Saccharomyces cerevisiae S288C: one gene and its partners. The protein of the gene in region 3 interacts with the protein of the main gene of each other region in a biochemical or structural test. Each region holds a gene or a part of one and is shown on either strand. Other genes may lie near its edges. The genes, in order: GCR1, TAF4, RAP1 and CCR4.

Region 1 (6,142 bases), on a different chromosome or scaffold from region 3:
TGAGTTGAGAGCAAGACAAAAGGCTGAGAGTAACCAGAAGTCTGATAGAAAATTATCAGAAGCTGCTCGCGCTCAAATTAGGTTGGATTTTATAAGTTTCTACCAAACCATATTGAACACTTCTTTCATTTACATCACTTTTACATATATTTACTATTATGGCTTCGATCCTATTCCGCCAACTATTTTCCTTTCATTTATAACATTGATTATATCAAGGACGAAAGTCGACCCTCTATTGTCCTCATTCATGGACGTAAAGTCTTCGCTGATTATCACATTTGCAATGTTGACTCTCTCTCCAGTCCTCAAATCTCTTTCTAAAACAACTGCATCTGATTCCATATGGACATTGTCTTTTTGGCTGACCCTATGGTACATTTTCGTTATTTCGTCAACAAAGTCCAAAGATAAACCCTCTAACCTTTCCACCAATATACTTGTCGCCCTTGTTGCTGTCCTATCATCGAGGCTTTCGACCACAATCGACGTATTCTGTTTTCTTTTAATTTGTATTCAGTTGAATATCATTCTACCCACTTATTTATCGGTGACGAATAAGGTAGTACCAATAATTTCAAATATTATTGTATACTCATTTTTGAATGTTGCTCTAGGTTGGATTTATATGCTGTTGATTTTCTTTGCTTCAGTATTTTATATTACTGTTTTACCTAAGTGGTTCATCTACTGGAAAATCAATTATCATAAACGGGATAACGATCTACTAAGTACATGGGATGCAAGAACACCAATATTGGATTAGCGCAATCAAGAACATGATTTCCTTCGGATAAGCAAGGGAGGGGTACGACTTCTGCCCGCAGGGGCTTATTGCCTGTCCTCTTCCTCGACCCCACGGTATTTCATTATATATAGAGTCACTGTAATAATAATTATCATGAAACCTGACAAGCAAAGGCGTCGGGCAATTACCAAAGGGCAGTTCGGTCGATTAAGTTTGCTTCACTACAGATTATTCACATATCATACGACAACTTTAAAATTGAACATTCAGGAGATTTTTGAATGCATTGATGGGCCCTTGCACCTTAACCGGGTCCCAATATTAGAGAAACGCCCCCTTAAACTGAACACAAGACAATACTACCTGGCCAATAGGGTACAATTTGCGGCCGTGTTAAACAGGCGTTTCAGCGTCTACCGCTCCTAATTTAAAGTCACTTGTTTCTTGGTAGCAGCAGCTTCCTGTTTTCTTCTTTTTGGCACTTGGTTATGTGATAATATCACCCGGATGAGAAACCTTTAAAATAAGCGTTTGGGAGGGGAAAAAGTGCAGTAACTGTCACAAATTTAACAAACAATTTGTTCACAAGTTTTGCCTTATCGTTCATCACATGTTATTTTTTTCAATCTAGCCAAAGTATCTAAAGAAGAATTTTCGTCTCTCTTGTGCCTTCTCATAATGTTCAATTAAGATGCAGACGGCTTTGACATGTCATTAATTTACTGAATTTCTGACACTTCCCCACGATATTTATCATTTTTTACGTAATTAAGATTTAAACTCCGTACACCCGGCTTCCACAAATGTAGAATTTTCCGGAGCTTCGAACTTCTTGTTTCACGAATTAAAAGCATCCAACGTAGAACCACCCAACTCATCTTCCTAATGCTGAAGCTTCATCGGTAAACAAACCACAGTTAATAGCGAGAAAGTCGGCAAGTGACAAACGACGGTTATATTTAATTGGCCTTTGATATATATTGAAAATGGTATGGTATGATCATAACACGCATTCTGAAAATGTTATCTGGGAGGTTTTCGATGGGTATGGAGTTTTCCTTGATTCTCACTTATTATCCCTTGTATTGTAATTGATCCTTCAGTAATATTTGCAGCCTTTCACAACTATCCTTTTTTTCATTGCTTATTACTATTGAACCTTTTTTAGGAGTTGCCTGCTTATGCAATATAATTTGCTGACAAGTAGTAAATTACCAGCACAATATTAAGATTAAAAAAGAAATTAGCCAAGAGCTTGATATATTATCTTATACACAAACCTTTCCGACCTACTTGATAAAGCCACATACCTCTACCTCTTCTATTAGAAATAGAAAAGTACAAAAATAGCAAAAGGAAATAATTTCTTTAAAATAACATTGTGTGAGGTTCCAACTATGGATTATTAATAGAGTAACGCAAACTTAAGGAAAGGAAGTGCTTTACAATTAAGTATTTATAAGAACGAATTTATCCCCCAAAAAAAAGCACCTATACTTAATAAAAGGAGGGGAATAGCTATCAATTGAGTGTTGTCTGCGTCTGTCTGCGTACAAGAGGATGAATTTTCTGACTCAGGCTATGTCAGAAACTTTTCAAGGGACAAATAACAGGATAAAACGTAATGTCAGGACACAAAGTGTGCCATCAACTTCCTATAATAATGGCAAAGAATCATATGGACCAAATACTAACCAATTAAATGCCCTACTTTCTCAATTGGAACAGCAAACAAGTGTTGATAGTACCAGCACGAGCTCAAACTTTTATTCCATTGCACAATATATTTTACAATCATACTTCAAGGTCAATGTAGATTCTCTAAACTCTCTGAAATTGGTGGATTTGATAGTGGACCAAACTTACCCTGATTCTTTGACGCTGCGAAAGCTGAATGAAGGAGCAACGGGACAACCATACGATTATTTCAATACAGTTTCTCGTGATGCTGATATCTCCAAGTGTCCAATTTTTGCGTTGACCATATTTTTTGTTATACGATGGAGCCACCCAAACCCTCCAATTTCAATTGAGAATTTTACTACAGTACCGTTGCTAGATTCAAACTTTATTTCTCTAAATTCCAATCCTTTACTATATATTCAAAATCAAAACCCAAACAGCAATTCAAGTGTTAAAGTTTCAAGGTCACAAACGTTTGAACCTTCTAAAGAGTTGATCGATTTGGTATTTCCATGGCTGTCTTATTTGAAGCAGGATATGCTTCTTATTGATAGGACGAATTACAAGCTTTATTCTCTCTGTGAACTATTTGAATTTATGGGCAGGGTTGCCATTCAGGATCTCCGATATCTGAGTCAACATCCCTTATTACTACCCAATATCGTAACATTCATTTCAAAATTTATTCCTGAGTTATTCCAAAACGAAGAGTTTAAAGGAATCGGTTCAATTAAAAATTCAAACAATAATGCCCTGAACAATGTTACAGGAATAGAAACCCAATTTTTAAATCCATCTACCGAGGAAGTGAGTCAAAAAGTTGATTCTTACTTTATGGAATTATCAAAAAAATTAACTACAGAAAATATCAGGTTAAGTCAAGAAATAACACAACTAAAAGCAGATATGAACTCCGTAGGCAATGTTTGTAACCAAATTTTGCTGTTGCAGAGACAATTGCTTTCAGGAAATCAGGCGATCGGATCAAAGTCCGAAAATATTGTGTCTTCCACAGGTGGGGGGATATTAATACTAGATAAAAATAGCATCAATTCGAACGTACTGAGTAATTTGGTTCAGTCGATAGATCCTAATCACTCCAAGCCCAACGGACAAGCCCAAACACATCAAAGGGGTCCGAAAGGACAATCACATGCACAGGTTCAAAGTACTAATAGCCCTGCGCTAGCGCCAATTAACATGTTCCCGAGCTTAAGTAATTCTATACAGCCGATGCTTGGCACCTTGGCTCCGCAACCGCAAGATATAGTACAGAAGAGGAAGCTACCGTTACCAGGTTCAATAGCCTCTGCAGCAACAGGCAGTCCTTTTTCTCCATCACCCGTTGGTGAGTCTCCCTATAGCAAACGCTTTAAACTAGACGATAAACCAACTCCGTCTCAGACGGCTCTTGATTCCTTACTTACAAAATCCATTTCAAGCCCTAGATTACCCCTTTCGACGTTGGCTAACACAGCTGTCACGGAATCTTTTCGCTCACCTCAGCAGTTTCAGCATTCTCCAGATTTTGTAGTTGGTGGTAGCTCAAGTTCAACAACGGAAAATAACTCTAAGAAGGTAAATGAAGATTCTCCATCATCTTCTTCAAAACTAGCTGAACGACCTCGTCTTCCAAACAACGACTCCACTACTAGCATGCCTGAAAGTCCCACCGAGGTAGCTGGTGATGATGTTGATAGGGAGAAACCGCCAGAGTCAAGTAAGTCGGAGCCCAATGATAACAGCCCAGAATCGAAAGATCCTGAGAAAAATGGTAAAAACAGTAATCCGCTTGGTACGGATGCTGACAAACCAGTACCAATTTCTAATATTCATAATTCTACTGAGGCTGCAAATTCAAGTGGTACAGTGACAAAGACAGCTCCATCATTTCCGCAGAGTTCTTCTAAGTTTGAAATTATAAATAAAAAGGATACGAAGGCGGGGCCAAACGAGGCAATCAAATACAAGCTGTCCAGAGAAAATAAAACAATATGGGACCTATATGCGGAGTGGTATATTGGTCTGAACGGTAAATCTTCAATAAAAAAATTGATTGAAAATTATGGCTGGCGAAGGTGGAAGGTTAGCGAAGATTCACATTTTTTTCCTACTAGAAGAATTATTATGGATTATATTGAAACGGAATGTGATCGTGGCATAAAACTCGGCAGGTTTACTAATCCTCAACAACCGAGGGAGGATATACGGAAGATTTTAGTAGGGGACCTAGAAAAGTTCAGGATAAATAACGGTCTGACTCTGAATTCTCTATCATTGTACTTTAGAAATTTAACGAAAAATAACAAGGAAATTTGTATTTTTGAAAACTTTAAAAATTGGAACGTTAGATCAATGACAGAAGAAGAGAAATTAAAGTATTGCAAAAGGCGACATAATACACCATCTTAAGTTTATTGAGGTTGTCCGCGACAATAGTTCCTTCAACAAAATAACGAAGCGACGATAACGAGAAATGTCATTAGGTTATTACTACCTTTATAGAAAATATATATACTTATTTAATATTTATATAGATTTATGTGTGTACATACCTATGCGGATGTATGCCTATGTGGGAATTCCTAAATGTCTTTCCATCAACGACTAAATATATATTCTCATGACTGACTATATGGGTTACGAAAACTTAATTTTTTTGTCAAAGACCCTGGCGAATTGAGAAAACCCGCTGGATAGATGGGCTATCCGAAATTTTGAAAGATGGAAAAAACATTAATCTCATTAGCAAAAGAGGTAAGACCCTGGGTGAAGAAAAGTCCGAGGAGGGAACACAAAAAAGTCTAGGATAATGGCACATGAAAAGTTTAGTATACCTGAGAACTTCACATTAGCGCAGTCTTTGCAATTGCTTTACTCTGTTGTCAAAAATCAATATAAAAACCTAGCAGACCTAATAATCAATAGCAAAGGTAATAAGGACACAGTAACGTATGGGAAAATCCACAAAAACTTAGACACTTTACTGGTATACGTCAATGAAGGTCTACGAAAAATTGAAAAGACTTATACCTTAAAGAAAGGGTTAGGAAATCTTGTAGTTGATCATCCTGAATTGAGGAGCATCATTGAGGATTTCCAAATTCTTGGCCAGGATATAAGGATCGCACGTCGTAAAGCAGAAACGCTTATGGCCGAAGGAAACGGTAGTCCCTCTTTGTCATCCTCCTCTTCCGTTTTGGGCCTTGGGACAGGAAATGGTTTGCGTTTTCCAAAACTTTGGAGAATGGGTTCCAAAAGAGATAAATTGAAAGAAGCTGACGAAAAGGAGGCTAAAATCAACAAACAGGCTGATAATATCAGACGTGCTAGGAAATTAGAAGAAGAGAAAAAGTTAGGAGCAAAACTTCAGTATGAGAGGGACTTAGAACTTCAAAGGGAAAAATTGATCGAGTTAAAGGTTAAAGAAAAGGTCGAATTTGAAGTGGCCCAAAAGTTGGAGGAGGAGAGAGTTAAGAGAGAGGAAGAAGAACGCAAACATAGAGAACAAGCGGAGAAAAAACGTATATCAACCCTGAAACATGAGAGGAAAACAAATTACAAATCAAGGGCTAGCCTCGACAACTTCTCTTCCAGTAGCAAATCTTCTGGAAAGATTGACAACTCCCTAATTAAAAGAAGATCACTTGACGTTGTACGGACTTCAGGCGAAAGAGTACGAACGCCAGTAAGAAAATCAATGGAGGCAGC
Region 2 (4,068 bases), on a different chromosome or scaffold from region 3:
TTACTTTTCAAGCACGCAAACTATTTAGTGAAACATCTCATTGCTCTTCCAAGTACCTCGCCTTCTGAAGAACGTACTGTCGTAAGAAGATACTCTGATTTCTTATGGTTAAGAGAAATTCTGCTGAAAAGATACCCTTTTAGAATGATCCCTGAGCTACCTCCCAAAAGAATTGGATCCCAAAACGCAGACCAGCTTTTTTTGAAGAAAAGAAGAATAGGGTTATCTAGATTCATTAATTTGGTAATGAAACACCCTAAATTAAGTAATGATGATTTAGTGTTAACATTTTTAACCGTACGCACTGACTTAACAAGTTGGAGAAAGCAAGCAACCTATGACACTTCAAACGAATTCGCTGATAAAAAGATATCACAAGAATTTATGAAAATGTGGAAAAAAGAGTTTGCAGAACAATGGAACCAGGCTGCATCTTGTATCGATACCTCGATGGAATTATGGTATAGAATCACGCTTCTCTTGGAAAGGCATGAAAAAAGAATTATGCAAATGGTACACGAAAGAAATTTTTTTGAGACACTAGTGGATAACTTTAGCGAAGTGACTCCAAAACTATATCCGGTACAACAAAATGATACCATATTGGACATTAATAACAATTTGAGTATAATTAAAAAACACCTAGAAACTACGAGTAGTATCTGCAAACAAGAAACAGAAGAAATATCGGGAACGTTATCGCCAAAATTCAAAATTTTCACGGACATCTTACTTTCTTTGAGAAGTTTATTTGAGAGATACAAAATTATGGCTGCAAATAACGTAGTTGAATTGCAAAGACATGTCGAATTGAACAAAGAGAAATTGGAATCGATGAAAGGAAAACCAGATGTCAGTGGAGCAGAGTACGACAGGATAAAAAAAATCATACAGAAGGATAGAAGAAGCATAATAGAGCAATCAAACAGAGCTTGGTTGATAAGACAATGTATTTTGGAAGAGTTTACAATCTTTCAGGAAACCCAATTTTTAATAACACGTGCCTTCCAGGATTGGGCAAAATTGAACTCCAACCATGCCGGTCTCAAACTGAATGAGTGGGAAAAGCTCGTCACAAGCATCATGGATATGCCGATTTCTCGTGAATAAATTTTACGGAGTGAAGACTAACCACTTAGTCTGCCAAAACATTATTGAAGGATATCCAACAGATGTAATTGACGTACTAAACAGAGAAATAATTAGGTAAATAGAGTAAAGATATGTACCACTATAAATTGTTATTTATTTGTTTTTCAATTTTAAATACAGTGTATGAAGCCTAATTCGGATATTATAGGTTCCCATATTTATTAGAAGGTAACAAATCTTTCGATAATTTGGATTAGATAGCCTTATAATATGCCGGACAAACGACGCCCGCTAAAAATGTGTATTCTCCAGTATTCAATATTCGTCATAAATGATCTTAATTTGAAAAAGTGAATGAACTGAACATCGATAAGTCGAATGTGGTCCGTGTAATAGCTCAAATGGGAAAGTTTTTCTAATCAGCATTCTGTATAACCTCACCTGCACGTAATCTAAAGTGCTTTTATCGATTGGTAGTGCACATATTGTCTTTCGGCATCATATCACATAATGGCAAATTCGCCGAAAAAGCCATCTGATGGCACTGGAGTATCAGCGTCAGACACGCCTAAATATCAACATACCGTCCCAGAAACGAAACCAGCATTTAATTTGTCACCAGGTAAAGCTAGTGAGCTATCACATAGCCTTCCGTCGCCTAGCCAGATAAAATCAACCGCACATGTATCTTCAACTCACAATGATGCGGCAGGTAATACGGATGATTCTGTTCTTCCTAAAAATGTATCACCCACAACTAATTTGAGAGTTGAAAGTAATGGAGATACAAACAATATGTTCTCTAGCCCTGCTGGACTAGCTCTACCAAAAAAGGATGATAAAAAAAAAAACAAGGGTACGAGTAAAGCAGATTCTAAAGATGGCAAAGCATCCAACTCCTCAGGACAGAATGCACAACAACAATCAGACCCAAATAAAATGCAAGATGTCCTTTTTTCCGCAGGTATCGATGTTAGGGAGGAGGAGGCTCTTCTAAATTCATCTATTAATGCCTCAAAATCCCAAGTTCAAACAAATAACGTTAAGATCCCCAACCATTTACCATTCCTTCACCCGGAACAAGTTTCCAATTATATGAGGAAAGTCGGAAAAGAGCAAAACTTCAACCTGACCCCTACAAAGAATCCTGAAATTTTGGACATGATGTCAAGTGCCTGCGAAAACTATATGAGAGATATCCTAACAAATGCCATTGTCATCTCCCGACATAGAAGAAAAGCAGTCAAGATAAATTCTGGTAGAAGAAGTGAAGTTTCTGCGGCTTTAAGAGCCATTGCACTAATTCAAAAAAAAGAAGAAGAAAGGCGTGTGAAAAAAAGAATTGCGTTGGGACTCGAGAAGGAAGATTATGAAAATAAGATTGATTCCGAAGAGACGTTACACAGAGCATCGAACGTTACGGCTGGCCTTAGAGCAGGTAGTAAAAAACAGTATGGTTGGCTAACTTCATCAGTAAATAAGCCGACGTCCTTGGGAGCAAAATCTTCAGGCAAAGTCGCCTCCGACATCACGGCTAGAGGAGAAAGTGGGCTAAAGTTTAGAGAAGCTAGAGAGGAGCCTGGTATAGTAATGAGGGATTTACTCTTTGCTCTCGAAAATAGGCGCAACAGCGTTCAGACTATTATTTCAAAGGGTTATGCCAAGATCAGAGATTAATTGCTCATCTCTTATACTGTCTATAATATTTAAAGGTATAGTGTTTCAAATAAACTAGGATATAAAAAAAACAAGATTGACTAACATAAAGAAGGCCGGTTGGTGTCGCTTAGTCAAGTCATCGCCAAGCTATTGAGGACCATTCAACCTTTTTGCTTTGTTCATTTTAACTTTATAATAAGGAAGATATATCAATCCTTGAAGTTAGGCATCCTTCTACCAAAAATAGCGGAAAGAGGAGTGATAATCGGGAAAAAAATTTTCATATTAATACACATTTTTATACATTTACTTGTCATTATCCTTTTGGGTGAAAGGATGTATTATGTATTGTTTCTCAGAAGGGCTTCTAAATTAGTCCAAATAATGCTGTTATGGCACCTAACAAACTCATTAGAGTATTAGTGTTCGCATAGGAAATAGCCGCAGCATTCGCTTTGTTTGCCGTAGAGGAAGAAGAACGAGCTGTAGAGGAAGAAATTGAAGAGGATGAAGAATTTGAGTTTAAAGTTGTATTTGACGAAGAGTTTGAGTTAGAAGTGACATTTGATGAAGTCGAGGTTGTTGAGTTTGATGTAGTATTTCCGGAGGTTGATGAACCTAAGAGAGCCGTTATTGGAATACCGTCAGTAGCCTCAGAGATTGCAGAGGCAATAGCACCGCTTTGATACGTACTATTTCCCGATAGTTCAGGATTAGCTGAGGTACTTAGTGTGCCGTTCCAGCAGTAATCCGCAAAACATTTGGTACATTCAGGGGGCAAGGTGGCATTTAGGCTTTCTTGCTTACGTCTAATGATGGCACAACCTATGCAACCTAAAAAGTTAGAGTCATCCGTAAAGTTGCCCATTGTAGCAGCTTCAAAACCATTTCTGATCATTCCAAGACGTTCTGTAACATTGTAGTTCATCTTCAAAGTACTTTGGTTACCATTGAATGAATGTTTTGTGTTTGGGATATATACAACTAAAGGTGGAATATACTCCAAGTCCGTCAAATTTTTTGCATCACAACCAAAAAACGTTGGCTTATTAGTTAAGCCCAAGTTAAGGAAGGTGTTAACGTCTGGAACATATGGGAAAGCCATTCCTTTACCTTGCTTAGAATACTGGCGCTCATAAGTGTTCGTCATGCACACACCACTTGGCCATGATTCATCAGTATTGTCGGATATATCCAATGCGAACACCACATCCAAGTCACGTTCCTTCTTGATTAGTGGAACCAACGGCAAATTTTGGCCGTCCTCACCACCATCAACTAAAAACAAATCATCGGCATCAACAATACTGGAAGTGT
Region 3 (5,300 bases):
AGAACAACAGCAGCAACGGGTTGAATACATACTATGACCCAAAGGGAGATAACCATTATGATACAATCTCTGCGTTTCATAAATCCATTAGAGGTGGGGACGAAAACGCCTCACTGTACTATTTAGCAAGAATGTTGCAGGGAGGAGAGGACCCATTGTATGTTGCCCGAAGAATGATTCGAATAGCTTCTGAAGATATCGGATTACGGGATAGTTCATTATTGCCCTTGGCTGTCGCGGCACATGACGCAGTAATGAAAGTTGGTTTGCCAGAGGCAGACCTTGCACTGGCGCAATGTTGTGTTGCTTTGGCTAGGGCACCAAAGTCAGTAGAACTATATAGAGCTTGGAAGAAATTAAGGGCAATGATGAGCGAGAACATGTACAGTTTAGCAAGCAGTGAGATACCGATGCATATCAGAAATGCGCCAACCAAATTGATGGAGGAGCTGGGTTATCATAAAGGCTACAAGTACAATCCCGATTATATTGAAGGAAAAGTCCAACAAGACTACTTTCCCAAAGAAGTGCTCGAGAAATGTCCAAATAAAACTGACTTAAAGTTCCTGGACGGCAAACATTTAGGAGACAAAGAAGATCCTGACTTGAGACAGTCATATCAGGGTTAGTCAAGGGTCTTCCATACTTCTCTCAATGCCGCGTCTACAATTCATATTTTTTTCTCTGTTGGCCAATGCCGCTTGTTTTTTTACGCTTGAGGCGCATTGCATTGCTGGCACGTTTTTGTGCAGCATGAACGATATAAACTATAATTTTAGATAATCAAGGATCCACCTTTTTTTTTCATGCTAGAAAAGTCTCGCGGGCCCATCTGAGATATATTAGAACATATACGCATCCTATAAGAAGAGCACATTATTCTTGAATTAGTTCTTCCTTTTCCTCGACCTTCCAGCTTGTAAAATGAGCCAGGCTTGAGGAGCATAGATACGCAAAAATGGAAGATAAGCGGAAAAGACGAGCCGCTACACTTAGTACAGCATTGATATTATTTGTGGCATGCTGCGTTTATACACTATATATATTCAAGTTTGATAACCCTCGGTTGTCTCCACCAGTTTCCTTATTGCCTACAATTAGCACCTTGAAGAAAATTGAGCATGTAACAGATTTAAATAAGGAGTACGTTTTTGTTGGTGACGTTCATGGTAACTATGATGAGTTCATAGAACTCATTGATGACAAGATTGGAGGACTAGGAGAAAATATAACAATGATATTGCTGGGTGACTTTATTCACAAGGGCCCGGACTCAGACAAGGTCGTGTCGTATATTCTAAATCACAAGGATCAAGTCAAGTGCGTTTTGGGCAATCATGAAATATTGGTCATGATGGCCTATTTAAACCCAGACTTCTCGAAATGGGTAAGACGCCCCAAATTAATGACACCTTTAACTTTCAGTACGGAGACTAATTTCATACCACAAGACATCTCTAAAATCAGCAACGCACATGGACGGTTAGCTCGCGAACTTGGGTTTTCCAAATTAAGTCAGCTAGCGGAACATTGTTCTATGGCCATAGAACTAGATCTGGATATTACCGGTGATATACTCTTTGGTGCACATGCAGGGATGGTTCCGGGAGACTTCATGAAGCCCAACCAAATTCCGGGCGTGAGCTCTCTGTCAAACATGAAGTACGTTGATAAGAAGAACTGGTCAAAAACATCACGTGAAAAGGAAAACAAGAATTATGTGAGATGGTACACACTGTGGGACAAATACGGAGACCACTTTAGTAACGCCAAAGTATTTTACGGGCACGATGCATCCATGGGACTAAACCTACGGAGACAGACCAAAGGTTTGGACACAGCATGTATAAAGAACAATCTGCTTTCATCTATGAAAGTGAAGTACGATATTAAGAAGGGGCAATATGACTATGAATTAATTCAAGTACAATGCTCTTAAAACAAAAAGTACTACTTAAAAGCGCAACAGATTTTATATAATGTACTATATGAAAAAGATATGAATATTATTATGTAACTCATAATACTGAATCTTAAATTTCAATGAAACTTTCGCTGGAGCTACAAGTATTCTTGCCCAATGGCCGCTACCCGCCTCTTCTTCGTTGTTGAAGTTTTAAAATTTAGCGAGAAAAGAAAACAAAACCGAAAACAGACAACCGCAATCATTTCTTCAACACCCAACATCCAGCACCTAAACACCATCAATACACGTTTTAAACAAAACAAACCCATAGCCCAAAAGGTAGTAAACACAAACCGTTGTATACGCAACCGCCCTACATAAGACACTATTTGCGTACAGATTATCTCAATATGTCTAGTCCAGATGATTTTGAAACTGCACCAGCAGAATATGTTGATGCATTGGATCCGAGTATGGTCGTTGTTGACAGTGGTTCTGCTGCAGTCACAGCGCCATCGGATTCAGCCGCTGAGGTAAAAGCTAATCAAAACGAAGAAAACACTGGTGCTACTGCTGCTGAAACTAGTGAGAAAGTGGATCAGACGGAGGTCGAAAAGAAAGATGATGATGATACCACTGAAGTCGGTGTAACAACTACCACGCCTTCCATTGCTGATACTGCTGCTACCGCTAACATTGCTTCGACATCAGGTGCATCTGTTACTGAACCTACTACTGATGACACCGCTGCTGATGAGAAAAAGGAACAAGTAAGTGGTCCTCCTCTGTCAAATATGAAATTCTATCTTAATCGCGACGCGGATGCGCATGACTCTTTAAATGATATTGATCAATTAGCGCGTCTGATTAGAGCAAACGGTGGTGAAGTGCTAGACTCCAAGCCAAGAGAATCAAAAGAGAATGTTTTCATCGTGTCACCCTATAATCATACCAATTTACCAACGGTAACTCCGACTTATATTAAGGCATGTTGTCAAAGCAACTCGCTACTGAACATGGAAAATTATTTAGTACCATACGATAACTTTAGAGAAGTTGTCGATAGTAGGTTGCAGGAGGAATCGCATTCTAATGGTGTAGATAATAGCAATAGCAATAGCGATAACAAGGATTCTATCAGGCCCAAAACAGAAATAATCTCTACGAATACTAATGGCGCTACGGAAGACTCAACCAGCGAAAAAGTTATGGTAGACGCTGAACAACAAGCTAGATTACAAGAGCAAGCTCAGCTCCTTCGTCAACATGTAAGCAGCACCGCATCAATCACAAGCGGAGGGCACAATGACTTGGTCCAGATCGAACAACCTCAAAAAGATACCTCCAATAATAATAATAGCAACGTCAACGACGAAGACAATGATCTTTTGACACAGGACAACAACCCTCAAACAGCAGATGAGGGGAATGCATCTTTTCAAGCACAAAGGTCCATGATTTCGAGAGGCGCTTTGCCCTCCCACAATAAAGCTTCTTTTACAGATGAGGAAGATGAGTTTATTTTGGATGTTGTGAGAAAAAATCCAACCAGGCGTACAACACATACTCTTTACGATGAAATATCCCATTATGTGCCTAACCACACGGGTAATTCTATTAGGCACCGATTTAGAGTCTATCTTTCCAAAAGACTAGAGTACGTTTATGAGGTTGACAAGTTTGGTAAATTGGTTAGAGACGACGATGGAAATCTGATAAAGACTAAAGTTTTGCCACCATCAATTAAAAGGAAATTTTCAGCAGATGAAGATTACACTTTGGCAATCGCGGTCAAGAAGCAGTTTTATCGTGATTTGTTTCAAATCGACCCTGATACTGGAAGATCACTTATCACAGATGAGGATACACCCACTGCTATAGCGAGGAGGAATATGACAATGGATCCAAATCATGTGCCAGGGAGTGAACCCAACTTTGCAGCTTACAGAACCCAAAGCCGTAGGGGACCGATTGCACGAGAATTTTTCAAGCATTTTGCCGAAGAGCATGCAGCACATACTGAGAATGCTTGGAGAGATAGGTTTAGGAAGTTTCTTCTCGCTTACGGCATTGATGATTATATTAGTTATTATGAAGCTGAAAAAGCTCAGAATAGAGAGCCGGAACCGATGAAGAACCTCACCAATAGACCCAAGAGGCCTGGCGTTCCCACTCCTGGCAATTATAACTCTGCCGCCAAGAGGGCAAGAAATTATAGTTCTCAAAGAAATGTTCAGCCTACTGCCAATGCAGCGTCCGCTAATGCTGCTGCCGCTGCTGCTGCCGCTGCTTCCAACTCTTACGCTATACCAGAAAACGAATTACTGGACGAAGATACCATGAATTTCATTTCCAGTTTAAAGAATGATCTATCCAATATTTCAAATAGTTTGCCCTTTGAGTATCCACACGAGATTGCGGAAGCTATAAGAAGCGATTTTTCGAATGAAGATATATATGATAATATTGATCCTGATACCATAAGCTTTCCACCAAAAATTGCAACAACAGATCTTTTCCTGCCATTGTTCTTTCATTTTGGCAGTACGAGACAATTTATGGATAAACTTCATGAAGTTATTTCAGGAGATTATGAGCCATCACAGGCTGAAAAACTGGTACAGGATCTTTGCGATGAAACTGGTATACGTAAAAATTTCAGTACGAGCATATTGACGTGTTTATCCGGGGATCTGATGGTCTTTCCTCGCTATTTCTTGAACATGTTTAAGGACAATGTTAATCCTCCTCCCAACGTTCCTGGTATTTGGACACATGATGACGACGAATCGCTAAAAAGCAATGATCAAGAACAAATAAGGAAACTGGTTAAAAAGCATGGAACTGGTAGAATGGAAATGAGGAAAAGATTTTTTGAGAAGGACCTGTTATGAGTAATTGAATTAAGTAACATCATTGTTTAACTTATTTTACTCCTTTATTTCACTGATTCACGTTTTCTACTTTGTTTTTCAGTTCAATGTATAATTTATGTAAACTTTTACGTATTTTAATTTTCAAAATTCTTACAATGATTAAGGCGGAACAGTTTTATAGAATCCCATTAGCAAAAAAGAGAGAAGAAAAGGAGGAAAGTATAACGCAGAACGAAGATTCTCATTTTTAACGTGTCTTTTCTTCAAGGATAAAACGCCTAACTAGCAAATAACTGGCGATTAGCAGACTACAATGGACAGTGAAGCAAGTGACATTGAGGCAGAGTTATCCGACAGCGTCTCAGCTGGTGGGGAAGAATACATTGACGATGATGATTATACGGAAGATATTGACGATCAGATAGTCACAGCCAAATCATCTAGAAGAACAGCACGTAGGAGTGTACCTAAGGGTGTAAGAACCTCAAAACGCATTAGAGATAAAGAACTTTCTGTGG
Region 4 (5,754 bases), on a different chromosome or scaffold from region 3:
AGCCGCACGTCTTTTTCTCTTGTTCGATGCGTTCTCCTCAGTGTCCTTATCATTGAAATTTGTGTTTACAAAGGCATTTAAAGAAGAATATGGCCTATGTGAGGCTATGAGTTGAGCCTTATGCATCGTGGTATCTGAGAGGTCCGAGAGATCGACAATATCAGAGTCATTAATAAACTGTAAAACTTGTTCATCCAGATTTATCTGCGGCGTGGATTCTGTGTAGTCGTCGCCACTTGCATCGTCATCGTCCGTCATCATACTCTCTTCCTCCTCTTCATCGTTGTCGTTTGCATGACGACCGTATTTGCGGTTCGCCAGTAGTTTCTCTCTTGCAGAACCTAATTGTGTAGCGGATGACTCATAAGACTTGCCAATTGGATGCTGATCTGCCCTTACCAGCCTTCTCTTTTTGTTGTAGTTCACGGGCAACTTGCTCAGTGCCTCCGAGTCTATATTCAAGTTAGTTGGCAGCTCAAAAGTGTATTGTTTCTGGTTGATGACGTTTGAGTAACGGTCAAAAATGGACGTTTTCTGTTTGGCCACGGTAATCTTGGAGGATTTGTTGTTGATATTGCCATGGATAGATGATAAACGGCCTGTGTTTGCCAGTGGTAATGACTTCTTGACAGGTGGCGGGGTTTCTGACTTCTTGGGAGATGCGTTCTTGTTCCATGTCCAATTTTGTCTTTGCTGCCTCAATCTTGTAAGACGTTCCCTGGCAGACTGTAAGTTAAAAGAGTTAGATTTGAAAACAGCCTGCACCAGAGTTTGAGAGAAATCGGGGAACTCTCTCGCAAGGTTAACCAGTGCTACCTCAGGACTCCCAGATGGGAGCGGCTTCGAAGTATGAGCTCCTTCGCTGGGATCTGAAGGCTTGAAAGTAAACCTGCTTCTCAAAGACGCCACACTTGCATCCGGAACTGTTGGCGAAGTAGGCTTTAAGGGAGACGACGATGCTACCTTGGTGGGAGAGGACGTCTCGGGCACTTGCACTACGTCATCCTCATCATTTGAATGCGAACCACTCATGTTTTCAACTATAGCGTATTTTCTCTCTTTTTCTTGTTTACGTTCCTTACTGTAGATAGTCGGGTGTCCACCAGTAGCAACAAACTCGAATATAGAGCACTATAGCACACGCCAGTACTGATTTAAGTTACGTGTTGCATTGCGAGATGGGCTCATGATCTCTTTTAATCCTACAAAGTGAAAAATTATGAAAAATTTCGCGGCGACGGGGGTAACGCAGCCGTTTGAGCCTTGATAATGCAGGCAGATCCAAAGCGCAAGTGATGGAATGTGATCATTAAAGGCTATAACAGGCTTGTATCGATGAGTTGTGTGTATGCGTTTGGGTCTAATGGGCAAAGGCAACTGGGACTGGGGCACGATGAGGATATGGATACCCCACAGAGGTCTGTGCCAGGAGATGATGGAGCAATAGTCAGGAAGATAGCGTGCGGTGGGAACCACAGCGTGATGCTGACAAATGACGGGAATCTGGTAGGATGTGGAGATAACAGACGGGGAGAACTGGATAGTGCGCAAGCACTGCGGCAGGTGCATGACTGGAGGCCCGTGGAAGTACCGGCACCCGTGGTGGATGTGGCGTGCGGCTGGGACACGACAGTTATTGTGGATGCTGATGGCCGTGTATGGCAGAGAGGAGGCGGTTGCTACGAGTTCACTCAGCAACATGTGCCATTGAATTCCAACGATGAGCGCATCGCAGTATACGGATGTTTCCAGAACTTTGTGGTGGTGCAAGGCACCCGAGTATACGGCTGGGGCAGCAACACAAAGTGTCAATTGCAAGAGCCCAAATCCCGATCACTGAAAGAGCCCGTATTGGTGTACGATACCGGGTCTGTGGCCGTAGACTACGTGGCCATGGGCAAGGACTTCATGGTCATAGTGGACGAGGGCGGCCGCATAGTGCACGCATCCGGTCGCCTGCCCACTGGGTTCGAGCTCAAACAACAGCAAAAAAGACACAATCTAGTGGTACTGTGCATGTGGACCTCGATCCACCTGTGGAATGCGCGCCTCAATACGGTAGAGTCGTTTGGTAGGGGCACACATTCCCAACTCTTCCCGCAAGAGCGCCTAGACTTCCCTATTGTCGGTGTTGCAACCGGGAGTGAGCACGGTATTCTAACTACTGCTAATCAAGAAGGCAAGTCTCACTGTTACAATGTATACTGCTGGGGCTGGGGAGAGCATGGCAACTGCGGCCCGCAAAAGGGCTCCCAGCCTGGACTGCAGCTCGTGGGCCAATACTCTGGAAAACCTCGCGTGTTTGGCGGATGTGCCACCACGTGGATCGTGCTCTAGCACTGATAAGTAACTATATACCCACTATCATATACATAGATGTCCATTCAGCATTAATTCTCATCGTGGTAGATCTCAAAGGTAAAGTAGCCGTTTAGGCCTTTTGTTATCGCCCGTACTTGCGAAAAACGGGCCAACAACGAAAAAATTTGAAAAAGTTTCCACCTTAGAGAAGGTTCTCAAGCACAAGGGCACAGCATAAGGGACACCAGCAAGGGAACTCCGACTGACGTTATCCCTGCAAACTACCGCTAATGAACGACCCTTCTTTACTAGGCTACCCTAATGTGGGCCCGCAGCAGCAACAGCAACAGCAGCAACAGCAGCATGCCGGGCTACTAGGAAAGGGTACACCAAACGCTCTACAGCAGCAGCTACACATGAACCAGCTCACCGGGATACCTCCACCGGGACTCATGAACAACAGCGATGTACACACTTCCAGCAACAACAACTCGCGCCAGTTGCTCGACCAATTGGCTAATGGGAACGCGAACATGCTCAATATGAACATGGATAACAACAATAACAACAATAACAACAACAACAACAACAACAACAACGGCGGTGGAAGCGGGGTGATGATGAATGCCTCCACAGCCGCAGTAAATTCTATAGGGATGGTTCCTACCGTTGGTACGCCTGTGAACATCAATGTGAACGCCAGTAACCCTTTATTACACCCGCACTTGGATGACCCTTCTTTACTAAACAATCCGATCTGGAAGCTTCAATTGCATCTGGCTGCAGTGTCCGCACAATCTCTGGGGCAACCCAACATTTATGCTAGACAAAACGCTATGAAGAAGTATTTGGCTACACAACAGGCTCAGCAAGCTCAGCAACAAGCGCAGCAACAGGCACAGCAGCAGGTCCCGGGCCCATTTGGCCCCGGACCTCAGGCTGCACCACCAGCTTTGCAGCCCACCGATTTCCAGCAATCTCACATTGCAGAAGCCTCCAAATCACTGGTAGACTGCACAAAGCAAGCCTTGATGGAAATGGCCGACACTCTCACCGACAGCAAGACAGCAAAGAAACAACAACCTACGGGAGATAGCACTCCCTCAGGCACGGCAACTAACAGTGCAGTTTCTACACCATTGACTCCCAAGATAGAGCTGTTTGCTAATGGCAAGGACGAAGCCAACCAGGCGCTCTTACAACACAAGAAACTGTCTCAGTACAGCATCGACGAAGATGACGACATTGAAAACAGAATGGTCATGCCCAAGGACTCGAAATACGACGACCAATTATGGCACGCGCTAGATTTGTCCAACTTGCAAATCTTCAATATCAGCGCCAACATCTTCAAGTACGATTTTCTAACGAGACTATATTTGAATGGCAATAGCCTCACGGAACTGCCAGCGGAGATCAAGAACCTAAGCAACCTACGCGTTTTGGACCTGTCGCATAATAGGTTAACATCTCTACCAGCGGAACTAGGCTCATGTTTCCAATTGAAATACTTCTACTTTTTTGATAACATGGTCACCACATTACCATGGGAGTTTGGGAACCTGTGTAACCTTCAGTTTCTTGGTGTAGAAGGAAACCCCTTAGAAAAACAGTTTTTAAAGATCCTTACAGAAAAATCTGTCACGGGATTGATTTTCTACCTAAGGGACAACAGACCAGAGATTCCCTTACCGCATGAACGTAGGTTCATCGAAATCAATACCGATGGGGAACCACAGAGGGAGTACGATTCTTTGCAGCAATCCACTGAGCATCTGGCCACCGATTTAGCCAAGAGGACGTTCACCGTCTTATCCTACAACACCTTATGTCAACACTATGCCACCCCAAAAATGTACCGTTACACACCGTCGTGGGCGTTAAGTTGGGATTACAGGCGCAATAAATTAAAGGAGCAGATTCTCTCGTACGACAGTGATCTGTTGTGTTTACAAGAAGTGGAGTCTAAGACTTTTGAAGAGTATTGGGTGCCCCTATTGGACAAGCACGGTTATACAGGCATCTTCCATGCAAAGGCAAGAGCCAAGACCATGCATTCCAAGGACTCCAAGAAAGTGGACGGGTGTTGCATTTTTTTCAAAAGGGACCAATTCAAGTTGATCACCAAAGACGCCATGGATTTCAGCGGTGCTTGGATGAAACACAAGAAGTTCCAAAGAACTGAAGATTATTTAAACCGTGCAATGAACAAAGACAACGTTGCACTGTTCTTAAAGCTACAACACATTCCTAGTGGCGACACCATATGGGCGGTCACCACGCATTTGCACTGGGATCCAAAATTTAATGATGTCAAGACATTCCAAGTAGGTGTCCTGTTAGATCATCTGGAAACGCTGCTAAAGGAGGAGACATCGCACAATTTTAGACAGGACATTAAGAAATTTCCTGTGCTCATTTGTGGTGACTTCAATTCATACATCAACTCCGCCGTATACGAATTGATAAATACAGGCCGTGTCCAAATACATCAAGAGGGAAATGGTAGAGATTTCGGTTACATGTCGGAGAAAAATTTCTCACATAACTTGGCTCTCAAATCAAGTTATAATTGTATCGGAGAACTACCATTCACCAATTTCACACCGTCATTCACAGATGTTATCGACTATATATGGTTTTCTACACATGCTCTAAGGGTGCGTGGGCTATTGGGTGAAGTGGACCCTGAATACGTGAGTAAGTTTATCGGGTTCCCCAACGACAAATTCCCCAGTGACCATATACCATTGTTAGCAAGATTTGAATTTATGAAGACAAACACAGGCAGTAAGAAAGTATAAACCGCACACTTTCATCCCACTCCCTCCCTCCTCTCTGTACACTACCTCATTATAAAATTGAAACGATCCCAATCTCACCGCACTTCCCATAAAGCCTTCACGTTATACTTTTTTTTCTCATCTTTTTTTTCTCTCTCTCTCTCTCTCTCTTTTGCGTATCTTTTTCGTCCTGTTTCTTTCTTACTTAAGTATCTTTTTATAATATTTAAGAGAGCCAAAATTATTTAACCAAACCAAGAATCTTGTATTCTATAACGAATCCTTAATTCTTCTTGTTGTTATTAATGCCAAAAACAGAATTAATTTCCCGAAAAAGAAAAAAAAATTGACTTAAAAAATCATAGGAAAGGATGAATGATTTACGTTACGGCGACAGCTTATCATCAAACGCAAGAAAGCATACCAGATTGCAAAAATGAGTACTAGTGCGGACACTGATACCATCAAGAAGCCAATCCTTGCGGTGCCAGAGCCTGCACTGGCCGATACGCATTCAGAGGAGATATCACGCTCTGGAGAAGAACATGAATCAGAGAACAACGAGCACTCAGATGAAGAAGGCGATAATTATTCTGAAAGAGAGCAATCTGTGTCAACCGAACCACTGGATACATTGCCGTTAAGAAAAAAGTTGAAAAATCTTTCATAT

Evidence for each region.
Region 1: the proteins of RAP1 (region 3) and GCR1 form a complex in vitro, tested with the Saccharomyces cerevisiae proteins (2 studies listed by BioGRID).
Region 2: the proteins of RAP1 (region 3) and TAF4 form a complex in vitro, tested with the Saccharomyces cerevisiae proteins (2 studies listed by BioGRID, with this or other methods).
Region 4: the proteins of RAP1 (region 3) and CCR4 form a complex in vitro, tested with the Saccharomyces cerevisiae proteins (one study listed by BioGRID).

The regions. Positions count from the first base shown.
Region 1 is NC_001148.4:410,520-416,661, forward strand, and holds GCR1 (transcription regulator GCR1), read left to right. Parts: upstream 1-1,734; coding exon 1,735-1,742; intron 1,743-2,493; coding exon 2,494-4,843; downstream 4,844-6,142. Other genes in the region: GPI2 (phosphatidylinositol N-acetylglucosaminyltransferase), read left to right, coding at 1-766; putative AAA family ATPase YTA6, read left to right, coding at 5,244-6,142.
Region 2 is NC_001145.3:274,443-278,510, forward strand, and holds TAF4 (Taf4p), read left to right. Parts: upstream 1-1,602; coding exon 1,603-2,769; downstream 2,770-4,068. Other genes in the region: MVP1 (Mvp1p), read left to right, coding at 1-1,110; PLB2 (lysophospholipase), read right to left, coding at 3,119-4,068. UniProt on the Saccharomyces cerevisiae protein: Functions as a component of the DNA-binding general transcription factor complex TFIID. Binding of TFIID to a promoter (with or without TATA element) is the initial step in pre-initiation complex (PIC) formation.
Region 3 is NC_001146.8:239,373-244,672, forward strand, and holds RAP1 (DNA-binding transcription factor RAP1), read left to right. Parts: upstream 1-2,316; coding exon 2,317-4,800; downstream 4,801-5,300. Other genes in the region: ssDNA-dependent ATPase MGS1, read left to right, coding at 1-629; PPN2 (putative serine/threonine-protein phosphatase), read left to right, coding at 959-1,939; IES2 (Ies2p), read left to right, coding at 5,096-5,300. UniProt on the Saccharomyces cerevisiae protein: Essential regulatory protein in yeast whose DNA-binding sites are found at three types of chromosomal elements: promoters, silencers, and telomeres.
Region 4 is NC_001133.9:110,197-115,950, reverse strand, and holds CCR4 (CCR4-NOT core exoribonuclease subunit CCR4), read left to right. Parts: upstream 1-2,591; coding exon 2,592-5,105; downstream 5,106-5,754. Other genes in the region: DNA-dependent ATPase FUN30, read right to left, coding at 1-1,032; ATS1 (Ats1p), read left to right, coding at 1,336-2,337; nucleoside transmembrane transporter FUN26, read left to right, coding at 5,521-5,754. UniProt on the Saccharomyces cerevisiae protein: Acts as a catalytic component of the CCR4-NOT core complex, which in the nucleus seems to be a general transcription factor, and in the cytoplasm the major mRNA deadenylase involved in mRNA turnover.